Oryctolagus cuniculus: one gene and its partners. The main gene of each other region encodes a partner of the protein of the gene in region 3 in a complex. Links are inferred from orthologs where the notes say so. Each region holds a gene or a part of one and is shown on either strand. Other genes may lie near its edges. The genes, in order: CUL3, PEF1, KLHL12 and PLEKHA4.

Region 1 (5,446 bases), on a different chromosome or scaffold from region 3:
AACAAGATCTTTGGACACTGCTAACTAAGGCAAGGCAAGAGACAGCACACTCTACAGTTCAGAAAATCATTATGGTGTGCATATCCATTCAGCTGTTTCTAATTAATTAGAATCCTTCAGTAAAAAAATACTGCTTTCAGCATCATTTCCCAGTGTTATTACTAATTAATATCCTAGCAGGCCAGTGCCGCGGCTCAATGGGCTAATCCTCCACCTGCGGCACCAGCACCCCGCGTTCTAGTCCCAGTCGGGGCACCAGATTCTGTCTCGGTTGCTCCTTTTCCTGTCCAGCTCTCTGCTGTGGCCCAGGAGTGCAGTGGAGGATGGCCCAAGTGTTTGGGCCCTGCACCCGCATGGGAAACCAGGAGGGAGAACCTGGCTCCTGGCTTCAGATCAGTGGGGTGCGCTGGCTGCAGCGGCCATTGGGAGGTGAACCAATGGAAAAGGAAGACCTTTCTGTCTCTCTCACTGTCTAACTCCGCCTGTAAAAAAAACAAACAAACAAAAAACAAAAAAAACCAAAACCTAATGTCTTAGCAAAACAGAATGGATGAAAATAACCTATGCATAATAATACTTTTCCTTAAAAAAAAAAAAAAAAAAAGAGGTCATGTGAAAAGTTAAAGTAGAGATACTAGTTCAAATGGAAGTAAAGAGACATAAAAATGAAATAATGTAGAAACTTTGATAGTATCCTAGATTCTAAAAGGTATGAAAGGAATCTTTGAGACAACCGAGGACACAGAAATAAGGTACAGAGATAATATGTAATGCAGTATTACAGTGATGTAGGGAAATATTTCATTCTAAGAAGTATCTGCTGAAGTTTAGAGGGAAAGTGTTGTTTGTGAATCAATTTCAAATGCTGTCACAAAGACATACATACACAGGGGGAGGAAGAGAAAGCATATATGGAAAAATTTCAATGGCTGGTACATAAGAGTACTCCAAAAAGTTTGTGGGAAATAGAATTCAAAGATGTTTATCTTGGTACAAGGAAAAACTGAAATTCACACATATAAGTGGCCTTCAAAAAGTTCAGAGAAAATGTGTATTATGAAAAAACCTATGCATTGATTTTAAAAATTTTTGTATGAAAATATGTATTTTTTAAAATAAGTATTTTATTTAATGTGCTTGGGAAAGCAGGGAAGACAGCCAAGTGCTTGGACCCCTACCATTCACATGTGAGACCCAGGTGGAGGTCCAGGCTTGGCCCAGCCCTTGCTGTCAAGGCGATTTGGGGAGTGAACAAGTGGACAGAATCTCTGTCTCTTCCTCTCTCTCTGTAACTGACTTTCAAATAAAATCTTAAGAAAAAAATGTTGGGGAAATTTTTTGGCTTTGGTCACCTAAATAGGTGTACTCCTTAAATATGCATAAAAAAAGATAAACGAGAAGACTGGTCATAATACATTAAAATATGATGGCTTTGAAAAATGTGAGCACAGGGCCTCACTCACAGAGTCCAACACAACATTCTGTACTTAACGAGAACAGAGGGGTTTGCTTGTTTGAGGGCCTACAAATATAGCTATATGTATGCTGAGGCAAGAGGAGTTTAAGCAGGCAAGTGGTGAGATGGAGAGTACTGTCACCACTGGAAACTGCTGTAGACTAAAACGAATCTAATTCTTTTCAAATATTGAGTATTGTTAATAATTTTGTTAACTTCTTTACAAAACTGCTACTGCTGGCTACAGCAAAAGCAGCGTAAAAGGGAAAGGTCAGAGTCTGTGTTTTTGATGTTACTGAGCCTTTGGCAATTTAAGAAAACCAACGCACCAACATGGTCACAATATTTACTGCCAAAGAGAAAATTTTCACTTAAAAAAATATGACTCAGAGCCAAGATCATCTAAAACCATCCTCAAATGAAAAATATACTTCTTTGCAGAATTTTATCATTGAAAAGAACTTTCAAGAGCTCATCTAGTCAAATCCTTCATCATATAAAACCAATTTCTATTTTAATCACACCTAACATGCTATACACAAACATGTGCTGCATACAACTTAACACCAAAAACTAAAAATTCAGAAATTATTTTTCCACAATAACTGCTCATTACTGGACATGATGCAATCAGGGATTACAAAGATACTTATCCAGGGCAAAGCAGGGTGAACACAGGTAATTCAGATATATATATACCCATATATTTTTTGTGAAATCTAGGATACAAATGAGCACTGAAATTCCCAATCCAAAACCTGCATCTGCCCAAATCTGTAAGCTTAAAGGCCTTGCACTAGAGGAGAAAAGAAATTATATTCCATGATACTTTAAAGATTGTTTAATATTTCTGTGTCACAAAGACTTGGGCCAATCTGGGCTGCTGAGATTACAATGATACAGATCCCAACTATGAGACAAGCTGATCAGGCTTTAATAGACACTCCACACTGGTTCACAAAGCATATATACAAAAAAATCAAAAAGATCAAGGAGGAAAACAAATGAAATATGTACAAAAAGTTCTTGAATCAATGTATTCTGGTAATCATATATTTTTAACACTAATCTTTCACTAAATATCTATTTTTAAATCAGAAAACTATAGGTATTTTAAAAACTGATCTTACCTAGCTTACTCTAAAATACTATTTTACTACACAGATAAATAAGCTGTAATGGATGAAATAGTACTTGGAAGCTTCTCTAAATAGTAATTTTGAAACCAGACAGTAAACTACATGATTTTTAAATATCCCCAAAAGCAGGGTACTTTCTTCCCCTTAAATAAATAGATAATACACACTTCGCGTTATGTTAAATATATAATCGATACAATTTTTCACTATGAACTTAGAAGCCTATACTACAAGCTGTTCAAAACTGTAATTTCTATGTCTCAGAATTCAAGATAATATATAATTTAAGATTTTGAATCCTAAATGTTTATCAAAACATAAACAGTTGTATTTAAAAGACCAAATTTTACATAGGTAAATTTTGAAAAATGGTAAGTGGGCTTTAAAAATAGACTTCCAGTGTCTATTAGTTAACAAGTTAAAAATAATTTAAGTATTAGCATGTCTGCAAAATTTCATTTGCTGAAAAACAAGGAAAGAAGTACCTTGTTCATATTATGAATTACTTTCCAAAATGCTTATTGTACTTGGATTCAATTACATTCTGATACAAGCATTTATCAATAAAAATTGCTTTATTTCTTATGCGTAAGAATCACACGGCACTAGAAAAGCGTTATTTTTTAATAGAAACAGATGAAAATGTTTTCTAGAGAAAAAAATATAATCTTTTTAAGAGGAAAAATATAATTCCAGATACCTGTTTGAATCTTGACTCTGTGTAGTTTGGATGTGAACTGATCGTTAACTGTAAATATGTGACCATTTTCTATTTCCTTTGACTTGGGCTCTTTGGTAAGAACCCGCTGTGTTGGTTTACCACAGGCGAGGGACTGTAGGGCTCTAACAAGCTCTCTTTCAGGGATATCTGTCTCTTGCTGAATTTCCTGAAATTTCATCAGATTGACATAATTAGACTTATTGGAAAATTAAGAGCACATTAGTTAATTAGCAAGTAAATTGACCAAGCAGTGGTTAGAGCAAGGTAATTCTATTAAAGAAATAATTTACAACAAGAATTCCCTGAATATTATGACTTATCATTAAAATCTCATTGTTTAAACAAACTGAAAAAGGGTGATTTAAATTACAAAATATTAAAACATGTTCTTTTTTGTTCCAAGAGATATAATGCCTCATCCAAATATGTCATCCAGTAGAGATTATCAAGAACCTACTTTAATGTTTAGGTAAAAATAAAGTGTTAACCAACATGTAACTACTGATTTTAGAAACATTTTATAATTTTCCTTCCAGGATGAGGTATACTCCTGTTCACTTAATAACATCTTTCCTAGAAAGAGAGTAAAGTGAGCCTAATCGCAGTTCTTCTATTATACAATTAAAATTCACATCACAGGAATAGGCTTGAGCCTAGCTCCTAGCACTGGAGCAGCTTCAGTCTTATGCTTCCTGCCAGTGCAGGTCCCAAGAGGCAATGGTGACTGCTCATGTAGCTGAATTTTAATATCCACATGAGAGACCCTGGACTGTGTTCCTGGCTCCAAGCTTTGGCCCTGGCATTTGGGGAGTAAACCAGCGAAATGGAGTACAGTCCATCAGTCTTCCATAAATAGTTACAATCTAAGTTGACTGTATTTACTGCCTGTGTGTAATCAAATGAAAACAAAAATCTTAAAATCTGGAAATCAGAAAGATTTCTATTTTCAAGTTCAAGATCCAATTTCAGTGATTATATACATTCCTTTCCTTCAAATGATCCTAAATGTGCTGCCAATTTTAATACCAGAAAATTAAAATAACACTATTATTAGAATGGATATATTATGCATGTTAAAAGTGACTTACATATTACAGTTATTGTTTAACTACATTCAAAAAACCAAAAATACTTTCTTAGGGGCTATTTCTCTGGTAATTACAGCTAATTCTCAGAAGTAACTACTGCAATTCACTATATATCTTTCCATACCTTTTCCTATTCACCTATATAAACATGAATACAAATACACACATTTACATTTATGTATATGAACACACCCTCCTATTTACACCTAATATGAGTGTTGTACATAAATGAGATAATAACATAGGGATTTTTCTACTAATTTCTTCAGATTTTCCACATTAGCATAGATATTAAAGCTACATGGAATTCCACAGCATTGCTATCATGATACAGATACAGACTGAGAGTGGATTCAACTTTGTCCTGCTATACCCATTTCTGTCTTTGAACACAACTGCCAGATTTTTTTAAAGAAAACTTCTATAGAAATATATTGGCTTTCTCCAAGTCATAAACATTTTGTATTTGATGGATACCAACAAACTGCCTTTTAAATGCTTAAAAATGTAACCCGTACAACAATGTATGATATCCATTCCCTCACTCCTGTCTTTAGCACCATATTTTTCTTTTGCCTATTTACTGAGCTAAAAATGCTGTGTCATTTTAATTTGTAACTTCTCAGGATCACTAGGAGAGAAAAACCTATCTTTTTATATTTGCAAGGCATCTTTAACTCCTCTTCTGCTGTTTGACTACTTAATATGCCTTGAATGTTTTTCTATCCAATCATTGGTTTAATATTGATTTATTGGTGCTCTTTATAAGTTATGGTTTTCCAATTCTGACACATGTTGTAAATAGTTTCTCCTAGTTCCTATGATTTATGATAACACAGATGCTTTACTGAATTTTTATATGGCTAAGTCTGTCAGTCTTTGTGGGTTTTTTTTTTTTTTTTTTGTGGTGGGAGGAGGGCAGGGAAATTTTAAAAATGAGCCTTCTTAAACCAAGGCTATCAAAAATACCCTATTTTATTATTTGTATAGATTTATGCTTATATTTAGAGTTCCACATATATCTGGAAAATCTGTACTTGAT
Region 2 (5,446 bases), on a different chromosome or scaffold from region 3:
ACCGTTCCACGAGAGGACTCGCTGTGGGGTGTTCTCGGCAGAGAAGAACTTGGCACTTAATGTGGTGGTGGGCATGCCAGGGGCCCTACCACTGCACCATGCTGAGGCGAGTGGGCGAGAGAACAATGGCGAGACGCGGGGGAGGACGGGCAGCGCTGTCGCAGGTGAGCTCCTGGACAGGACGGCAGGGGCGAGTCTCAGGTGGAAGCTTCTGCCACAGTGGAGATTTCTGGGCATCTCAGACAGAGTCGGGTCAGGGAGAGTGAGGGTCTGTCCCCAGTCCCCAGCTCATTGCAGTCAGCTGTTTTTCAGGTGATTGTTCCTAGGAGCCCAAGTCCTGGGGAGCCTGAAGGGCCTCCAGAGGGTGGCCGTGCTGGGAAGGCACAGCATCTGAGCACCCAGGGTGAGCCCCTGAGGGCGGTTCCAAGCCCTGCGAACCAGAAAATTCTGCATTTTGCCTAGTATCACACAAGCTGGTAAAGGTCAGAGGCAGGATTTGAATCCAGGTCTGCTTCAGTTCCAAAGCCTGAGCTCTTCTCCACACACCACACAGACCGCCCATGGTACAGAGAGTCTCCTGCCTGGGGCTGTGGCCCTTGTTCCCCCGCCCCCACCACACTGCTGTTTCTGGAGGGTGGCGGGGCCCTGCCTGGATTTCCCATCCTGGCAGGTCAGACCAGGCCTCAGGCAGGCCAGTCTTTTCCCTCACCTTTGGCGCTGACCGACTCTGCTCGGCTGTCCCTGGCCATCTCTGATGGTTTCTTGTGTGAAGGAGCTTCCGGTGTGGCCAGTAAGCTCTGTGGTTTACCACTACTGCGTAACTTGGGCCTTTTCCTCGGATAGACTTCTCTGCTTCTTTATTGTCACCCACCACCCTTCCCCTGTCCCTTAGCCCTCCTCCAGAGAACCCTTGATGTGCTGGAGGGGCTGGGCTAGGCCCTGTCCCTTAGAAACACAAACTTGCATAGAGAAGTGACCGCACGGAAGTCCGAGGGAGCCCTGGTATAGACATCAGCTGCAGGTACAAGAGAGTCTACGTGGGAGGCTGTCAACTTGATGAGAGGTGGGACAGGTAGATTTGTGAGGCTTTGTGGGTAAGAAAAACCTGTTGCCAGGGAGGCCCTTTCGTGTGGGGATTCCCTTGGTGTATGTCCCTTCCTCTAGGTGGCGCCCCTCCCGGTGTAGATCCTGAGGCCTACTCCTGGTTCCAGTCGGTGGACTCTGATCACAGTGGTTACATTTCCATCAAGGAGCTAAAGCAGGCTCTGGTCAACTCCAACTGGTCTTCATTCAATGATGAGACATGCCTCATGATGATAAGTGAGTCCCAGACCTACCCTGTGGGCGTGCACTGGGCCAAAGCCACCTGGGGGTTGACAGTAGGTGGGGAGGTAGACATGTAGGACACAGCGTTTTGGTCAAGGAGGATTTCCAGGAGGAAGCTGAGTTCAAGGTGAGATCCTTTAGATCGAGACTCTTGGATCTTTCTCAGGTTGACCCTGCTGTGTTAGAGGTGGCTCAGTGTTCTGTTCTGTAGAATGGGACTCCTTCCTCTGGTAGGAAACGGCAGGGAAGGTTCACCATGGACTCAACTGCCAAGCCTGTGAAGGAAGTGCAGTTCTGGGTGGGGTGGGGCTGGGGGCGTCCAGGGGAGGAAGCTGATGCAACACACTCGATACAGATGTCTTGGGTGCAGGCACTGGGCCTCTGGCCTGTGGTTCTGTGGAGTGTCACGCACCAGCCTGGGACAAGGGCTGTGGCCGTGGCTCCTAGAAGCCTTGGCCCCAAGTCTTGCAGCCTTCCTGCCTTCCCCTCCTTCAGACATGTTTGACAAGACCAAGTCAGGCCGCATCGACGTCTACGGGTTCTCAGCCCTGTGGAAGTTCATCCAGCAGTGGAAGAACCTCTTCCAGCAGTATGACCGGGACCACTCGGGCTCCATCAGCTACACGGAGCTGCAGCAAGGTGAGGACCACGCGGGGCACGGCGGGCAGAACAAGGGCTGTCCCTGTCACTCCCAGAGGCCCACCAGTGCAGGCCCACTGCTCCCACCCTTGCTGTGACCCAGCTGTGGCACTGAGCCCAGGCCAGGGCAGGGAAACGCCTGGGTCCAGAGTTAGCCCTGGACTCCCTGACTAAGTCTCCTGGCAGCATGAGGTGAGAGCCCCAACCGCAGGGAGCCTCGGGATGGGAACTCGACAGCCGGGGCACCAGACCAGTGTGTGTGGCTGGGGCGGCTCCTTCCCCTCTAGTGTGTGGCATACAGACTGCAGAATGGAAGGAGCCCTGTACAGAAACAGGTTCTGTTGTCACCTCTGCCAGACACCAGGTGGGTAAGATGACCTGAGGCCACAGCTCCCATCTGGTTCCAGTCTGACGGTAGGGTTCAGGCCAGTGGGTGAGAGGACAGGTGGCTAATGGAGTTGTAAGAAACCAGCAGGGAGCTTTGCCGCTTGGGAGGGGGGCAGAGCCGCCAGAGAGTCCAGTCTCTTGTCCGGGCTCTCTGGGTGGAGGTGAGCGCTCGGCATCTGTGCCTGGTCGGGGTGGGGTGGGATTTTGTCAGTTGCTGTAAAGGATATTGGTAAGGGTGAAACTAACAACCACTGCTGTCTGTGGAATGCTTGCTGTGTCTCGGACAAGCACTGTAGTAGCCTTTGCGCAGGTTTGTGTCATTCATGCCCATGTGTTAGCTATGGCTGATGCTTACTGTTCATGCCCTGTGGTGAAGGTCCCTTAGACCTCTGTTCTACACCTGGGAAGACCAAGGCCTAGAGTAGGAACCTCGCCAAAGGGCCCCCAGAGCAAATGGAGAACTGAGATTTGAACCTGGGTGGAGGGGAGGGAAGGCAGCGCCCCAGTGGAGGGTGGGGAGCACCCAGCAGCCTCTTCTGGGCAGATGGGGAGACTTTATTAGGATAGCAGTCACTGAGTGCCAGGCTCTGTGCTACTTGTTTTAATGATCGCCTCCTCTAATCCTCACCAGAAGCTGCAGACTCAGCGTCATCCACACTTTAGAATAAGAAAGGATATTGCGGCTAAGCAGCTTGCCCAGGGACTGACTCCGAGCTGGCCCTCGGCCCTCGGGCCCTCTGGGCTGGGCCAGCCGCCTTGATGTCAGCCGTAGCTGGGGTGGTCCTTGGGGCTCAGGCCTCCTTTTGTAATGCGGATGAGTCAGATGACAGTGGAGAGAACCTTGTCTGGACTTGTGAGCCAGATCACAGAGACTTGGAGAAAGGGGGAGGGGCCTTGCAGGTAGAGCCCCGGTTGTGCTCCCCTTGTGCAGACCCTCGGGACTCTCCTGTCCTCTTCACGCTCCTGTGTCGGTCCCCTCCGTGTTCTCTGAGCTGCGGCTGCTCTGGGCAGGGGCTCACAGCAGGTTTCTGTGTGTTCTGTGTGCCCTTCTTCTCCAGCTCTGTCCCAGATGGGCTACAACCTGAGCCCCCAGTTCACCCAGCTTCTGGTCTCCCGCTACTGCCCGCGTTCTGCCAGTCCTGCCATGCAGCTCGACCGCTTCATCCAGGTGTGCACTCAGCTGCAGGTGCTGACTGAGGCCTTCCGGGAGAAGGACACCGCCGTACAGGGCAACATTCGGCTCAGCTTTGAGGACTTCGTTACCATGACAGCCTCTCGGATGCTATGACCCAGCCCACCTGTGGTGTGGAGTGCGCCAGGGGCCTCTCCCAGCTCCCTAGAGTGGGAGAAGCATGTGGGCCTCTCTTCTTTTCCTGCCTCTCCTAGAAAAAGATTCTCCTTTGCTTGACACAGCCCTCAGAGGGGTAGGAGTCTTGTGTCACAGCCACCAAATAGTGGGGACTTAGTTTGAGGCCACACAGATGGGGGACCTGACGTAGGAGAGAATGAGGTTGGAAGTCCTGACAACCCTGAGCAGTTAGTGGCACAGCCTGGCACCAGGAGCAGGTGCTCCAGTCATTACCGTGGAGTTCGTGTGGCCTGCTGGCCTCTGCCTCCGGCTTTCCCATCTACGCCCTGAGGCTCACCGTCTTAGCATTAGCACCTGTGTTCCTTCCCCCAGACTGTCCTATTGGATGAGCCCAGTTTGGCCAAAGTGGAGTTGATCAGGCACGGGAGAGATTTGCCCAGGGGACCAGTGGCTTGCCTTGTCCCATACCCACAAGTCCTTGTGAGTTACCTCTCTCTGCCTGGGGCAGTCAAGGCTCAGGGAGCTCGCAGTCTGCTCTCTGGGCATCTTGGACCCCTCATTCCCTGCCAGGCTCTGCTCAGCTTTCGTCCCCAGGGGACAGTTGTCACCTCTCACTGCCAATGCTTTTTTTTAATTTCTAGTTTTTTCATTTGGGGCCAAAAGTCCAGTGAAACTGTAAGCTTCAATAAAAGGATGAAACTCAAGTTCCACATTGTCCGCCATGACTTCCCAGCTACACTTGCCCATTCATTCACTGATTTGTTCTTTCATTCCATGAATACGTAAGATACAAGCCTTGCAGAACACGGCGGGGGCGGGGCGGGCATGGCCTCCATGGGCTGTTCTCACTGGCCAGCGTGAAGCTGCACTGTGGGGCAGCCAGGTTCAGCTCAGGATGGCTTGGAGATTAACTCAAATTGACTGTCAAGTTACAGTTTTTGGGCTGGAAACAGCCACCCCAAACTTGGCACAACATGGCTTTTTTATCTCCGGCCTTAGTTTTATCTTTCAGACAAACTCCGCTTATGAAGTCATAACTTTTCCCCCATTTTTATTAAGCACAGACATCTGTACCTGCCTGTCAGATCCCTAGATCAGCATGATACCCAGTCTCCACTGAGTGTCTATGGCGAGCTGATAAAATGTCAGTCAAAAGCTTTGCCAGGGGGGCCTTATCGCGGGTGATGGTGTGATTATCCCTTGGCTCTTTGAGATGAAGATAAGAGCTCTGCGTCCTAAGCAGGGCTCTCCCTGCAGTGCGTGGCTGGGGAAGTGGCTGAGACTGTTCCGCAGGTCAGTGAGGCCCAGCAAGCAAGTCGGGCTTGGCCATGCAGCCCCCTTCGCTCTGGGCTGCTGACATGCGAGAATCCAGTCAGATGGAATGCAGCTCCCAGGGCCATCCCCATCCAGAGCTGGAAGCCCCTGCAGGGCCCCTGTGAGTCCGCACTCTGTTAGGCAACCTCCAGTGACAGAACTCAGTGCTGGGGTGGGCGTTTGGCACAGTGGTTAAGATGCCTCACGGGATGCCCACGTCCCATATCAGAGTGCCTGGATTCAAGTCCTGGCTCCACTTCGATTCCAGCTTCCCACTAACACACACCCTAGGAGGCAGCAGGTGATGGCTCAAGTATATGGTCCCTGCCACCCGCCTAGGAAACCCAGACTGAGTTCTGAGCTCCTGGCATCAGCCTGGCTGAGCCCCAGCTGTTGGAGGCCTTTGGGGAGTGAACCAGTGGATGGAAGTTCCCTATCTTCTGTCTCTCTGCCTTTCACATGAAAATAAGA
Region 3 (6,145 bases):
GAAGATGGCCCAAGTGCTTGGGCCCCTGCACCTGTGTGGGGACCCGGAAGAAGCTCCTGGCTCCTGGCTTCGGATCCGCACAGCTCCGGCCGTTGCAGCCATCTAAGGAGTGAATCAGCGATGGAAGACCTCTCTCTCTGTCTCTACCTCTCTCTGTGATTGTCTTTCAAATAAATAAAATAAATCTTTATAAAAAAAAAAAAAGGACCAAGTGGGTCTTGGGACTCTTTCCCTTAAACCAATTACTCTTAAAAGTAAAGACAAAATCATCTGGCATTTTCTTGCCAGATGCCAGTTTTTAAAGAAAGAATGAGGAAAAAAAAAATTTATATGGAACTCTATACTAATTTCTGAATGGGTTAAAAGAGTGCAGACAGGTTTTCTTCAAGCTGACACCAAACAGGAAGCACAACATGCAATTAGCAGCCAGCAGCCTGGATGCATTTCATGGGCTGCGGCTGCTGGGTGACACTCTCCTCCCCGAGAAAGGGCCCGGCTTCTGATGCTCTCGGGCAGGGATCACCCAGAACCGTACAGCATGGTGACCTATAACGCTGCATTACACGAGGTCATTTTAACATCAGCCTGGAGGAGCTGGAATGACCTGTTAGGTTTCTGCGTGTTTCCTACCAGCAGTGTGACTGAGTGCTGGTTCACAGCATCATTAACTGCACTGGCTTTAAAATTAGATTACAGGGGACGGTGCCGTGGGGCCACAGGCTGAGCCACTGCCTGCCATGTCATCCTGTATCAGGTCCCGGTGCTCTGCTCTGACCAGCTGCCTGCTAACCAGCCTCGGAAGGCAGCAGATGATGACCCAAGTCCTCGGGTTCATGCCACCCACGCAGGAGGACCAAGGGGGAGTTTCTGGCTTCTGGCTTTGACTGTTGCAGGCATTTGGGGAATGAACCAGTGGATGGTTCTCTTTCTCCTTCTCTCCCCCTCTCTGTTGCTCTACCTTTCATGTAGATAAAAATAAACATTTAAAAATAAATGAAAATAGATTATAAACATATATCAGAAGCTGGGGAGGCATAGTAGTCAAAAATTGTTTGGGGAGGGGCCCGAGCTGTGGCATAGTAAGTTAGGCCTCCACCTGCAGTGCCAGCATCCCATATGGATGCTGGTTTGGAATCCCAGCTGCTCCACTTCCAGTCCAGCTCCTCCTAGTGGTCTGGGAAGGCAGTAGAAGATGGCCCAAGTGCTGGGGTCCCTGCATCCACAAGGGAGACCTGGAAGAAGCTACTTGCTTCAGATCGGCCCAGCTCCAGCAGTTGTGGTCAAGTTTGGGGAGTGAAACAGCAGATGGAAAACCTCTCTCTGTCTCTCCCTCTCTCTCTCTCTGTAACTTTGCCTCTCAAATAATTAAAAAAAAAATTAAAGCTTAGAAAAATGTGAAGGCAAATTTTATAGCTGGGGGCCAGTGCTGTGGCGTAGCAGGTAAAGCCACCGCCTGCAGTGCTGACATCCCATCCAGGCACCAGTGCTCCACTTTCCATCCAGCTCTCTGCTGTGGCCCAGGAAAGCAGTGGAAGATGGCCCAAGTCCTTGGGCCCCTGCACCCACGTGGGAGACCCGGGAGAAGCTATCAGCTTCGGATCGGGTGCAGCTCCGGCCATTGTGGCCATCTGGGGAGTGAACCAGCGGATGGAGGACCTCTCTCTTTGCCTCTGCCTTTCCTCCTCTCTCCGTGTAACTCTGACTTTCAAATAAATAAATAAGTCAATCTCTAAAAACAAACCAACACAAAGTCAATAACGTCTCATTACCCACTAAGCTGTCCTAAGCACTTGACACGTAATTTTCTGTCTTCGCCACAGCCTTGCGTGACGCACTGGGCAGCACTATTATCTCTAACTCAGAGGTGAGAAAACGAAGGCACAGGCATGTGCGGATCTCACTGTGAATAAGCCTGCCTGCTTACACAGCGTCTTACAAGACTCCACTACCATATGAAGCTTGGGTTGTCTTCCTCGGTGAGGCGAGGCGAGGCGCTTACAGGCATGGGCTGCACGGGTGCGGCCTGCTTACCTCGCTGGTGAACATGGCGCAGAAGTAGTCGCTGCAGGCAGCCAGCACGATCCGGTGGGCGGGGAAGTCTTTCTGCTCCACTCTCAGCGTCACGTCGCAGAGGGTGCTGCTCTTCCTGAGGGCGTTCATCGAGTTGAGGATGGATTTAGCATGCGTGTTGGTCATTATGTCTTTGGGGGCCATCCTGCCTCCCATCAAGCAATATGGAGAAAGAACAGAGGGGGCCCTGGGTCCTGGAACTGCAAGAGAAGGCAACAGAGGCACACAGGCCATCAGCTTCCCAGACGGGGGCTGAGACCTCTGCAGGCACAGACGCCCACAGGGACAGCCCCTGCGCTCTCTGGGCTCACCGCCATCTGGCCGCTAACTCTTCTAGCTTAAGGAGCAGCCCTGCTTCCTCTCAAGTCCTCTGTCATGAGTGTCCCTGCCACCTGCAATTTATTATAATCGGTGCTCAACTGTATTCTAAACAGAAAGGCCTATGTATCTTCATGGGATTGTCTCAAGTGATAAAAAGGTAAAATCCCTTAAAGGTGTGACATCATGGCTATTTAATATTCATAAGAGAATAAGTATTCAGAGGGTGGGTTCTTGGTTCATATGGACCCTAGCAGGTACACAATTAAAATTTAACAATTAAATATAAGAAAAACAGTGTATTCAACTTAGAACAAGAAAGGCTAGTATTGGTGAAAATGAACTGGTTTCCAAAGAAATACAAGATGCAAAGAATTATGCATCAGGATTTCCAAATATAATTACATTTCTTCTGAAAGTGAAATTTCAAACGACAACCTGGGACCTGCTTTGAATAGCAGAGACCACGCAAGCCATCTGTGGTCTCCCCAGAGTCGTCAAAACTCCTCAGTAGGAGTCTTCCTGTTCTACACGATTGGGAACGTCCACCAATGCTAACACATCAATATTCACAGCACTTCTTCTATACTCAGAGAACTTGTCAGGATAGAAACCTAAAATCCCTCTACTGCCAACTTCACCGCCATCGCTGCCGTGGCCTGTTACAAGTCAGCCCTCTGTCCCATGGCTCCCCACCCACACCGTCAACCAACTGCAGATAGAACTATTTGAGAAAAAAAAATCATGGGTATTATACATGCACACGGTTTTTCCCTTGACATTATTGCCTAAGCAGAGTATCAAAACCACTTACACAGCAGTTACAATGCATTAGGTAGGCTGCATGCAAACACAGCGTTCTACAGGAGACCTGAGTGCCAGCCTATCTGGTATCTGTGGCAGCTCCTGGCACCAATGCGCTGCAGACACCAAGGGACGGCTGTGCCCCAAAGTTCACTTGTGCGCATCAGCTCAGTGATTCCCTACCTAACAGCAACTTAAGGAACAGGTGCTAGTTCACAGCCTTTTTTTCTCCTTTGGCTTCAGGCACAATTTCTGGGAGTGAAATGGGGGGTGGTCATTAAGAGAGTACATCTTACTGGGAATCCAAAACTTTCAAAAATAATCCAAGAAATTAAAAAAAGTTCGCAACTCACGGTCAGGATGTTTGAGGAGCAAAAACAAGACCCCAAACTCATCTACTTCTGTCCATGGTCCGCACATCACTCTACAGGATCCACCCAGCGACTGTGCCACAGGCACTTTGCACACCAGGCGGTGATTCATCAGAGCGAGCGTCCTGCACAAAGGTCTTCCTTCGCTCAACCGAGGGCCACCCTGGGATGCAAGGGTCCGAAGGACCTCGCGCGGGGACAGCGGCCCCCCCAGGCAGCCTCAGCACAGCCTCACCCTTACCTTTCGGAAGGGCCCTATTCTAGAACCTCCGATCACACCTGAACACGGGGGTTCCACCACGGCAGGTTGGGGGCGGGGCCGGGGTGTCCACTCCTGGTAAGGGTCAGTTCCCGAGAAGGAAGGAAGGTCTTCGCCGCGGACCACGCCGGGCGCTAGGCTGGCACCGCCTGGCAGAGGTAGCGGAGGGGCGCGGGTCGCCGGGTGCCGCAGGCCAGAAGCCCCCCCGCCTTCCTCCTCGGAGGGAGCCCCAGGAATGGGGGAAGGGCCACCACCTTACGAAGGCAGGGGCTACCTGCCGCCACCTCCGGTCCACTCACCTCGGCTCCCGGGCCCAGCGGCCGCGCCGAGCCCGGCCACAGTCCCTGGGGACGGGGCGGGGAGCGGGGCGAGCAGGCGGCTCAGCAGGAGCCGGAGCGCCGCCGCCGCCCCCGCTCGGAGGCTCTGGGGCCGTCACCGTGGGCGTCCCGGCTCCGGTCCCCGCGGCCGCGCGACGTGATGACGTAATGCCAAGCGAGGCCCGCCCCCCTCCTCCCCTGGGTCGGCATCACGTGAGGCGTCGTCGTCACCTGACCCGCATGTGCCCGGGGCTGGCTTCGGCCAGCAGCAGGAGAGGGGGCGCCCGGGGAGGGGATCGCGCAGGCGTCCAGCTCTGTGATGCGCTGAAACCGAGTTTCTTTCTGCCCGCAGCCCACGAGGCAGGCCCCACGGGGAGCGTTCCCAGGGCTTCTAGGCGAAGGCGCTGACTGCAGGGGCTCCGTTTTACCTGCCAGGGATTCGGGTACTGCCTGTCATCCAGGAAACCCAGAGACACTGCAACTGTCTCAAAATCCACGGTCCACAGTGGCGGCCTCGCGCCGACTAGTGCTGTGGCGAGAACCCCGAGACCTCGGGCGTTCTCTGCGTCACAGTGGGGCTTGCGAGGGTCTCGGAGCAGCCCTGCCGGACCTGTCTGCCGTCCCCGGGGGTGCAGGGAGGGGGCGGCTAGGCCTTCTGCTTCTTCTTGACTTGGACGCATTGTTAGGGGCCGGGGCTCCTCAGTTCCACCTAAGTCAGTGCCCACACTGCTTTCCTGTGCGCGGCCTCTGATGCCTAAGGTTGGTGATACCCCAGCACGGTGGGCGGCTGCTACTTTGCTTGGTGTCTCTGTCTTCCATAAGCAATCTTCCCACCCGAAGACTCCCTGGTTTACACATTGTGGTTGGAAGTGCAAGGCTGGGGCAAGTTCTGCGGAGTTTTGGAAGTCATCACAGGTATGAATGCAGATACCCTTTGGCTGCGCAATTGTTTATCAACGTATCCGCCATGTATACTGTATGCGGCAGTGTTGTGTGTAGATGAAAAACCCTCAACGTGCATTAGGAGGGCTGATTCAGTAAGGTGTGCATTCAACCCTGCACCATGCTGTTGTGAGCAGCAGGTGTCGTCTTGCTATTATTTGTATCAAAACGTGAGAAGATACATTCAATTATATTCGATCGTATGTGTATAAAAGAAACAAAGTATAAAACAAAATGGTAACATTGTTTTTTTTGGGGGAAGGGTCTGGTTGATCATGACACAGGGTAGAAAGGTTTCTTTTTGTGCCTTTTGAGCTTTGCATCATGTGACTTAAAATATGTACAATTTAAATAAAAACAATTCCTTGTTTTCTGGATGCAAAATATCCCTTTAGTGAGACTATCCAGTTTCTGGCAGATACCTTAGGAATTTTTCCAAATATGAGAGGGAACTTGACTTTGGGGCCCTTAAATGACTGAGCCCCACCCCTGCCAGTATACCCACTGTTTAACCCGAGATTGAAAGAGGTGCAGCTAGCAAAAAGATCACCCCAGGGGGGTTCTAACTCAGGCTTCCCCGTTCTTCAGGGGCACGGTCCCAGCACGTGTACTCATGGGGACACTATGCTTCCCACACAAGAATACCTCCAGCCATTCCGATACTTGAGCCGACATCCTACAACCTATACTGGAAGACCAGGTCTGAAACAGGTCAGTTCATGAGTTTGGTCCTGATCCTCGGTGTACATAGTTACCAAGGGATTTCAGGGAAGACAGGGAAGCTGCCCTGGAATTCTGGATCCAGGTGCACAGAGTGGAAGTCGAATCGAGCAGTCAGCCAGGCAAGACACATGGCATTCTGCACTGCCAGGCTGTGGCAGTGTAAGAATGCACCTGTCAGGGACCCGAGCCCCAGGAGCAACCCGAGCAGAGCCCAGGCCACTGCTGAGTCTCACTCCCCAGCTTTGCACCCTGGCTTCTCCGAGGCTGATTCCTGCTTCGCTGGCGGCGGCTGGGATTCACGGGCAGACTTCCAAGGGGAGATGGGACGGTCAGAGGACCAG
Region 4 (5,446 bases), on a different chromosome or scaffold from region 3:
TAAACCCAATTTGGGTGTTACCCATTGTTCTTTTTATGTGTTGTTGGTGCCAAGATGTATTTAAGTCCAGTAGGCAGTGGACTGGAGTCATGGGGTGGATTTTAGGATGAAGTAGGAGGGGCTCACGGTGAAGACAGTGGGGCTTAAATCTGGGAAGAGGCACTTCACAGATTTAACTAGAGGGTAATGTTTTCAACTACACACACGCGATGTAGAATGCCACGGCTGTGCTTAGGAGGAGTGGGACTGAGGCTGAGCACTGGGCTTATATGTTAGGAGTGGGGCTTGAACTCAGGATTGGGCCTAGAACTTGAGGCTGCAGAGGACAGAAGCAACAGTGAAGGCAGGGTGCTGACTCAAAAGCTGAATTTGCATACGGAGAGGAGGCTGCGCCGTGAGTAGAACCAGGGGAGAGTGGCTCTGAATCTCAAAGTCGGTCTGCAAACCAAGCGCCTCAGGAGGAAAGGACAGACAGCAGGAGCCCCCACCCCCACCCCAAGGACAAGAAGGCTTCCAGGGGAACTTAGAGTGGACAGAGGGCCGGAGGCTCCGCAGCAGGGAGGTACCTGGGGTGACCCGAGGTGAAGCAGGTACTCCAGCGTCTCCCGTAAGGTGCCCAGCTCCTGTTCCAGGCCGCTATAGATGTCCCAGACCCGCTCCCGCTCCTCAGGTTCCAGAACACAGGAGACACGAGGTCAGCACTCACTCCACCATCCCCACCCCACCTTTCCACGGCTGACAAGAAGGGAGGGAGCCTGCTTCCCGTGCCCTGGGATACACAGACAATAATCCCCAGGTGGGGCTCCAGCACCTGGTAGAACCTGCAGTTCCAGTGAGCTGCTGGTGTGGACCAAGAACAGCGTTCCCGGAATCCCAGGGTTACTTCTGCTCCACGGGGGCGGAGTCTACACAGCTGATGTCACAGCTACTCCACAGGGTGGGGCAGAGTCTACACAGCTGATGTCACAGCTACTCCATGGCGGGGGCAGAGTCTACACAGCTGATGTCACAGCTACTCCATGGGGGTGGAGTCTATACAGCTGACATCACAGCTACTCCACGGGGGCAGAGTCTACACAGCTGACGTCACAGCTACTCCACGGGGGCAGAGTCTACACAGCTGACGTCACAGCTACTCCACGGGGGCAGAGTCTACACAGCTGACGTCACAGCTACTCCATGGGGGGGGCAGAGTCTACACAGCTGACGTCACAGCTACTCCACAGGGGCAGAGTCTACACAGCTGATGTCACAGCTACTCCACAGGGGCAGAGTCTACACAGCTGACATCACAGCTACTCCACGGGGGCAGAGTCTACACAGCTGACACCAGTGCCACGGCAGCCACACACCTCTGGGCAGCACAAACCTCCTCGCCACACCACTGACCGTCACAACAGCAGCTTACACACCCGCTTAATTCTCGTGAGGAGGGGTCTGTGATTGTCTCCGCCTTACAGACACGTAAACAATAATCTCACCATGTAAGCATCTGTCTACATCATGCATATGTCATAATTATAGCCAAGTCATGGGTCCTTCACTGGTTTAGTCATTCATTTACACACACACGTGCAATCTTCACAGTGACGTTACAAAGTAAATACTATTTTTAGGAGGCACCTAAGGCCCAGAAAGGTTAAGTGACTCTTCTCAAGGTCACACAGCTACTAGGAGTGGGAGTCGAGATTCGGATCCAGGAAGCCCACGTTAACATCACCCTCTTAGGGGCGCCAGTGTGTGATGTGGCAGGGTCAGCTGCTGCCTGAGCCCGGGCGCCGGCTAAAGTCCCGGCCACCCTGTAAAGCACCTGGGAAGGCAGCAGTGGGCCCGTGCCACCCAAGTGTGCGACCAGAATGGACGTCCTTGCTCCTGGCCTCCGCCTGGCCCAGTGCTGGCTGTCGTAGCCACGTGGGGAGTGAATCAGCAGATGGAAAAATGGAAGACCTTTCTCCATCGCCCTCAAACAAATAAGTAAATCTTCAAAACAATTTAAAAACTAGGGGCCGATGTGGCGGTATAATGGATTAAGATGCTGCCTGACATGCCAGCATCGGTTGGAATCCCGGCTGCTCCACTTCTGGTCCAGCTCCCTGCTAACGCACCTGGGAAAGCAGCGGACGATGGCCAAGTACTTGGGCCCTGCACCCATGTGGGAGACTTCCACAGAGTTCCACGCTGCTGGCTTCGGCTGGGCTGTTGTGACCATTTTAGCCATGAACTAGCACACAGAATCTCTGTCTTTCACACTGCCTTTCAAATAAATAATCTTTCAAAATAAATAAAATCTTTAAAAATAAATTTAAAAAGTTAAAAAATGAAATCACCCTCTGAAAGTGCTGACTTAAGTTGTGGACCTTACGCTTGTCTCCCGTGCCCTGGGATGGCCCCGGTTCCTGGTTTAGAGTTTAAGAGGCTGGAATTCTGAGGAACGCTCCCGTGAGTCCATGGATGTGCCCCCCAAGGACCCCCTGGGAGGGCCTCCCCCTTCCCCGGGGCTCACCTGAGTCAGGTGACAGAGGGTGGCCCTCACGCTGACCAGTCGGTCCTGCAGGAGGCGCTGGCGCCCCCAGGCCCTCCCGGGAGCCCCAGCCTCTCTGGTTGCCTGGCTCAGCTGCTGCCGGGTCAACTCCAGGGCTGCTTCCAGCTGTTCCTGCAGCGACAGGGAGGTGGTCAGGCTTCCGAGGCCACCCCCGGCCACAGGAGAGGGCAAGCATCCCCCACCTTGCCATCCACCCAGCATCCGGACCCGACAGTCAGGGAGGGCTAAGGGCAGGGGAGGGGCTGGGGCCCTCCGGCACCTTCTCCTCCTGCTTCTGGTCCAGGTCCTCCTGCAGCCTCCTGAGGAGCCGGTCCTGCCCACACAGCTTGGTCAGCAGAGTCTGGAGGAAGAACAGGAGCTACTTATGCACGCACCCCCCGCCCCCTACCACCATCCGGAACACTCCCTCCCCTGGTCGGAGAGCAGCAGGGGTTAGATTCGGGAGAACTTACATCTGTCTCCAAATTTTGGTGGAAGGCTGAGTCCAAGGGGGGACCTGGCTGAAGAGGGGGAGAAGTCAAAGGTCAAAGGGTGCACACAGGTCCCCACCGTAGCTCACTGAGCCCTGCCCGTTTTATCCCCCTCTGCTTGTTAGCGCCCCTCTGAGCGTCAGCTTCGGAACATTCAATGGGATCAAACAGCGACAGCAAACGGCAGAATCCATGGGGAAACTTTAGCTGACTGTGGCCACTACGGTGTAACGTGGCACCGGAGACCCTGACCAGTGCTATAAAGAGGGGAAACGGGAAGGTCTAAGGAGAGGAGGGGGATCGGTGAAGCCATCAATGTTTACAGGTCGCACGTTCCTCCACCCCAAAGAAGCAACAGAATCCAAGAGCGAATGAGTGGATTCGGCAGAGACCCAGATGCAAGGGGACGGCACGTAAACGAAGGGCACTGCTGTACAGCATTAAGAACTGGGAAACACAATGAGAACGTAAGACCCCATTCGAGTGGCTTTAAAACCACCAGGAAGGCTCATCTCCAAAAGCATGGAAAGCAGGGTGTTGAAGAGATCTTGGCACACCCAGTCTGTCGCGGCACTGCACATAATAGCCAAAGAGCAGACCCAAACTCTCCGATCATGACGTGTGAACAGATGAAGTGTGATCGATCCACGCAAACACCACTCAGGCCGTACAGAAAGCGAGTCCCGCTGCACAAACAGAGAAGAGCCTTGAAGACACCGGGCTCCATGAAATCAGCCAGTCCCCAAAGTCCAGTTCCACGGGGTTCTATTCCCATGAGGAGTCTGCAGCTAAACCGACAGATGCACACAGCTAGACCGACTGATGCACACAGCTAGACCGACTGACGCACACAGCTAAACCGACTGACGCACACAGCTAGACCGACAGATGCACACAGCTAAACCGACAGATGCACACAGCTAGACCGACAGATGTACACAGCTAGACCGACTGACGCACACAGCTAAACCGACAGATGCACACAGCTAGACCAACTGACGCACACAGCTAAACCGACTGACGCACACAGCTAAACCGACTGATGCACACAGCTAAACTGACTGACGCACACAGCTAAACAACAGATGCACACAGCTAACCCAATAGATGCACACAGCTAAACCGACTGACGCACACAGCTAAACTGACAGATGCACACAGCTAAACTGACTGACGCACACAGCTAAACTGACAGATGCACACAGCTAAACCGACTGACACACACAGCAGGGCAGTGGGTTCCAGAGGCTGTGGGAGGGAACAGTGAGCTGTTCAAAAGGAACAGGGTTGTACAAGATGGACATGTGCTTTTTAAAATTTATTTTAAGATTTATTTATTTTTATTTGAAAAGCAGAGTTACAGAGAGGCAGAGGCAGAGAGAGTTTTCCATCCGCTGATTCACTCTCCATATGGCTGCCACGGCTGGAGCTGCGCCGATCTGAAGCCAGGAGCCAGGAGTGTCTTTCAGGTCTCCCGCATGGGTGCAGGGGCCCAGGGACTTGGGCCATCTTCTACTGCTTTCCCAGGCCAGGCAGAGAGCTGGATCAGAAGTGGAGCGGCTGGGACTCAAACCAGCGCCCATATGGGATGCCAGCACGGCAGGCGGCGGCTTTACCTGCTACGCCACAGAACCAGCCCCAAGATAGACAAGTTCTAGAGATCTGTTTCATTTGACTGTATTGTGTTTAGCACACGTAACTGAACTGCACACTTAGAAGTGGAGAAGAGACTGGTTAAGGCGCTCACGTCCCCCATGGGAGCGCCTGGGTTGGGTTGGGTTGGGTCCTCAGCCTCGGCTCCTGGCCACAGCTTCCCGCTCATGCAGACCCTGGGAGGCCGCAGTGACGGCTCAGACAATGGGGTCCCTGCTGCCCACACGGGAGACCTGGATTCAGTTCCCGGCTCCTGGCCCAACTGCAGCCATGCGGGCGTTTGGGAAGTGAACCAGTGGATGGGAGATTTCCTTCTGCCTCTCAAAGAAACAGATTTAGAATTTCTTTTTTAATTTTTAAAAAGGTATTGATATGGTACATTTTATGTTTCGTATTTTTCTACACACACACACACACACACACACACAACAGGAATTCAGGTATAGGAGTTGCTATACCTGAATATACAAGATCTCTATGGGGGAAAAAAATCGAAAACTTGAAAAAACAGACCTAGGAGATGACCTGAATGAATGAAAAGATAGTCCATGCCTTGTTTGTTTGTTTTTTCACAGGCAGAGTAGACAGTGAGAGAGACAGAGAGAAAGGTCTTCCTTTGCCATTGATTCACCCTCCAATGGCCGCCATGGCCGGCGCACCGCGCTGATCCGATGGCAGGAGCCAGGTACTTATCCTGGTCTCCCATGGGGTGCAGGGCCCAAGCACCTGGGCCATCCCCCACTGCACTCCCGGGCCACAGCAGAGAGCTGGCCTGGAAGAG

Evidence for each region.
Region 1: KLHL12 (region 3) and CUL3 share a complex: the UniProt entries of both Homo sapiens proteins name them as parts of the BCR(KLHL12) E3 ubiquitin ligase complex. The link is inferred for Oryctolagus cuniculus from reciprocal best matches to the Homo sapiens genes KLHL12 and CUL3.
Region 2: the proteins of KLHL12 (region 3) and PEF1 are in contact, whole or in part, in a crystal structure (PDB 8RBH), measured with the Homo sapiens proteins. The link is inferred for Oryctolagus cuniculus from reciprocal best matches to the Homo sapiens genes KLHL12 and PEF1. Residues at the interface, in NP_067646.1 of Homo sapiens: Phe289, Gln293, Arg320, Tyr321, Leu371, Glu417, Tyr434, Ile439, Phe481, His486, Cys511, Tyr512, Tyr528, Leu533, Cys558; in NP_036524.1 of Homo sapiens: Gly15, Gln16, Ala17, Pro18, Gly19, Ala20, Pro21, Pro22.
Region 4: the proteins of KLHL12 (region 3) and PLEKHA4 are in contact, whole or in part, in a crystal structure (PDB 8OIO), measured with the Homo sapiens proteins. The link is inferred for Oryctolagus cuniculus from reciprocal best matches to the Homo sapiens genes KLHL12 and PLEKHA4. Residues at the interface, in NP_067646.1 of Homo sapiens: Phe289, Arg320, Glu417, Tyr434, Ile439, Phe481, His486, Cys511, Tyr512, Tyr528, Leu533, Cys558; in NP_065955.2 of Homo sapiens: Pro177, Gly178, Gly179, Pro180.

Annotation. Positions count from the first base shown.
Region 1 is NC_091434.1:14,737,786-14,743,231, reverse strand, and holds part of CUL3 (cullin-3), read right to left. Parts: intron 3,483-5,446; coding exon 3,296-3,482; intron 1-3,295. UniProt on the Homo sapiens protein: Core component of multiple cullin-RING-based BCR (BTB-CUL3-RBX1) E3 ubiquitin-protein ligase complexes which mediate the ubiquitination and subsequent proteasomal degradation of target proteins.
Region 2 is NC_091438.1:140,789,294-140,794,739, forward strand, and holds the end of PEF1 (peflin), read left to right. Parts: intron 1-1,164; coding exon 1,165-1,320; intron 1,321-1,821; coding exon 1,822-1,965; intron 1,966-3,410; coding exon 3,411-3,640; 3' UTR 3,641-4,365; downstream 4,366-5,446. UniProt on the Homo sapiens protein: Calcium-binding protein that acts as an adapter that bridges unrelated proteins or stabilizes weak protein-protein complexes in response to calcium.
Region 3 is NC_091444.1:18,665,344-18,671,488, forward strand, and holds the start of KLHL12 (kelch-like protein 12), read right to left. Parts: upstream 3,732-6,145; 5' UTR 3,676-3,731; coding exon 3,546-3,675; intron 2,271-3,545; coding exon 2,032-2,270; intron 1-2,031. UniProt on the Homo sapiens protein: Substrate-specific adapter of a BCR (BTB-CUL3-RBX1) E3 ubiquitin ligase complex that acts as a negative regulator of Wnt signaling pathway and ER-Golgi transport.
Region 4 is NC_091449.1:8,350,808-8,356,253, reverse strand, and holds part of PLEKHA4 (pleckstrin homology domain-containing family A member 4), read right to left. Parts: intron 3,043-5,446; coding exon 2,995-3,042; intron 2,883-2,994; coding exon 2,802-2,882; intron 2,654-2,801; coding exon 2,504-2,653; intron 666-2,503; coding exon 567-665; intron 1-566. UniProt on the Homo sapiens protein: Binds specifically to phosphatidylinositol 3-phosphate (PtdIns3P), but not to other phosphoinositides.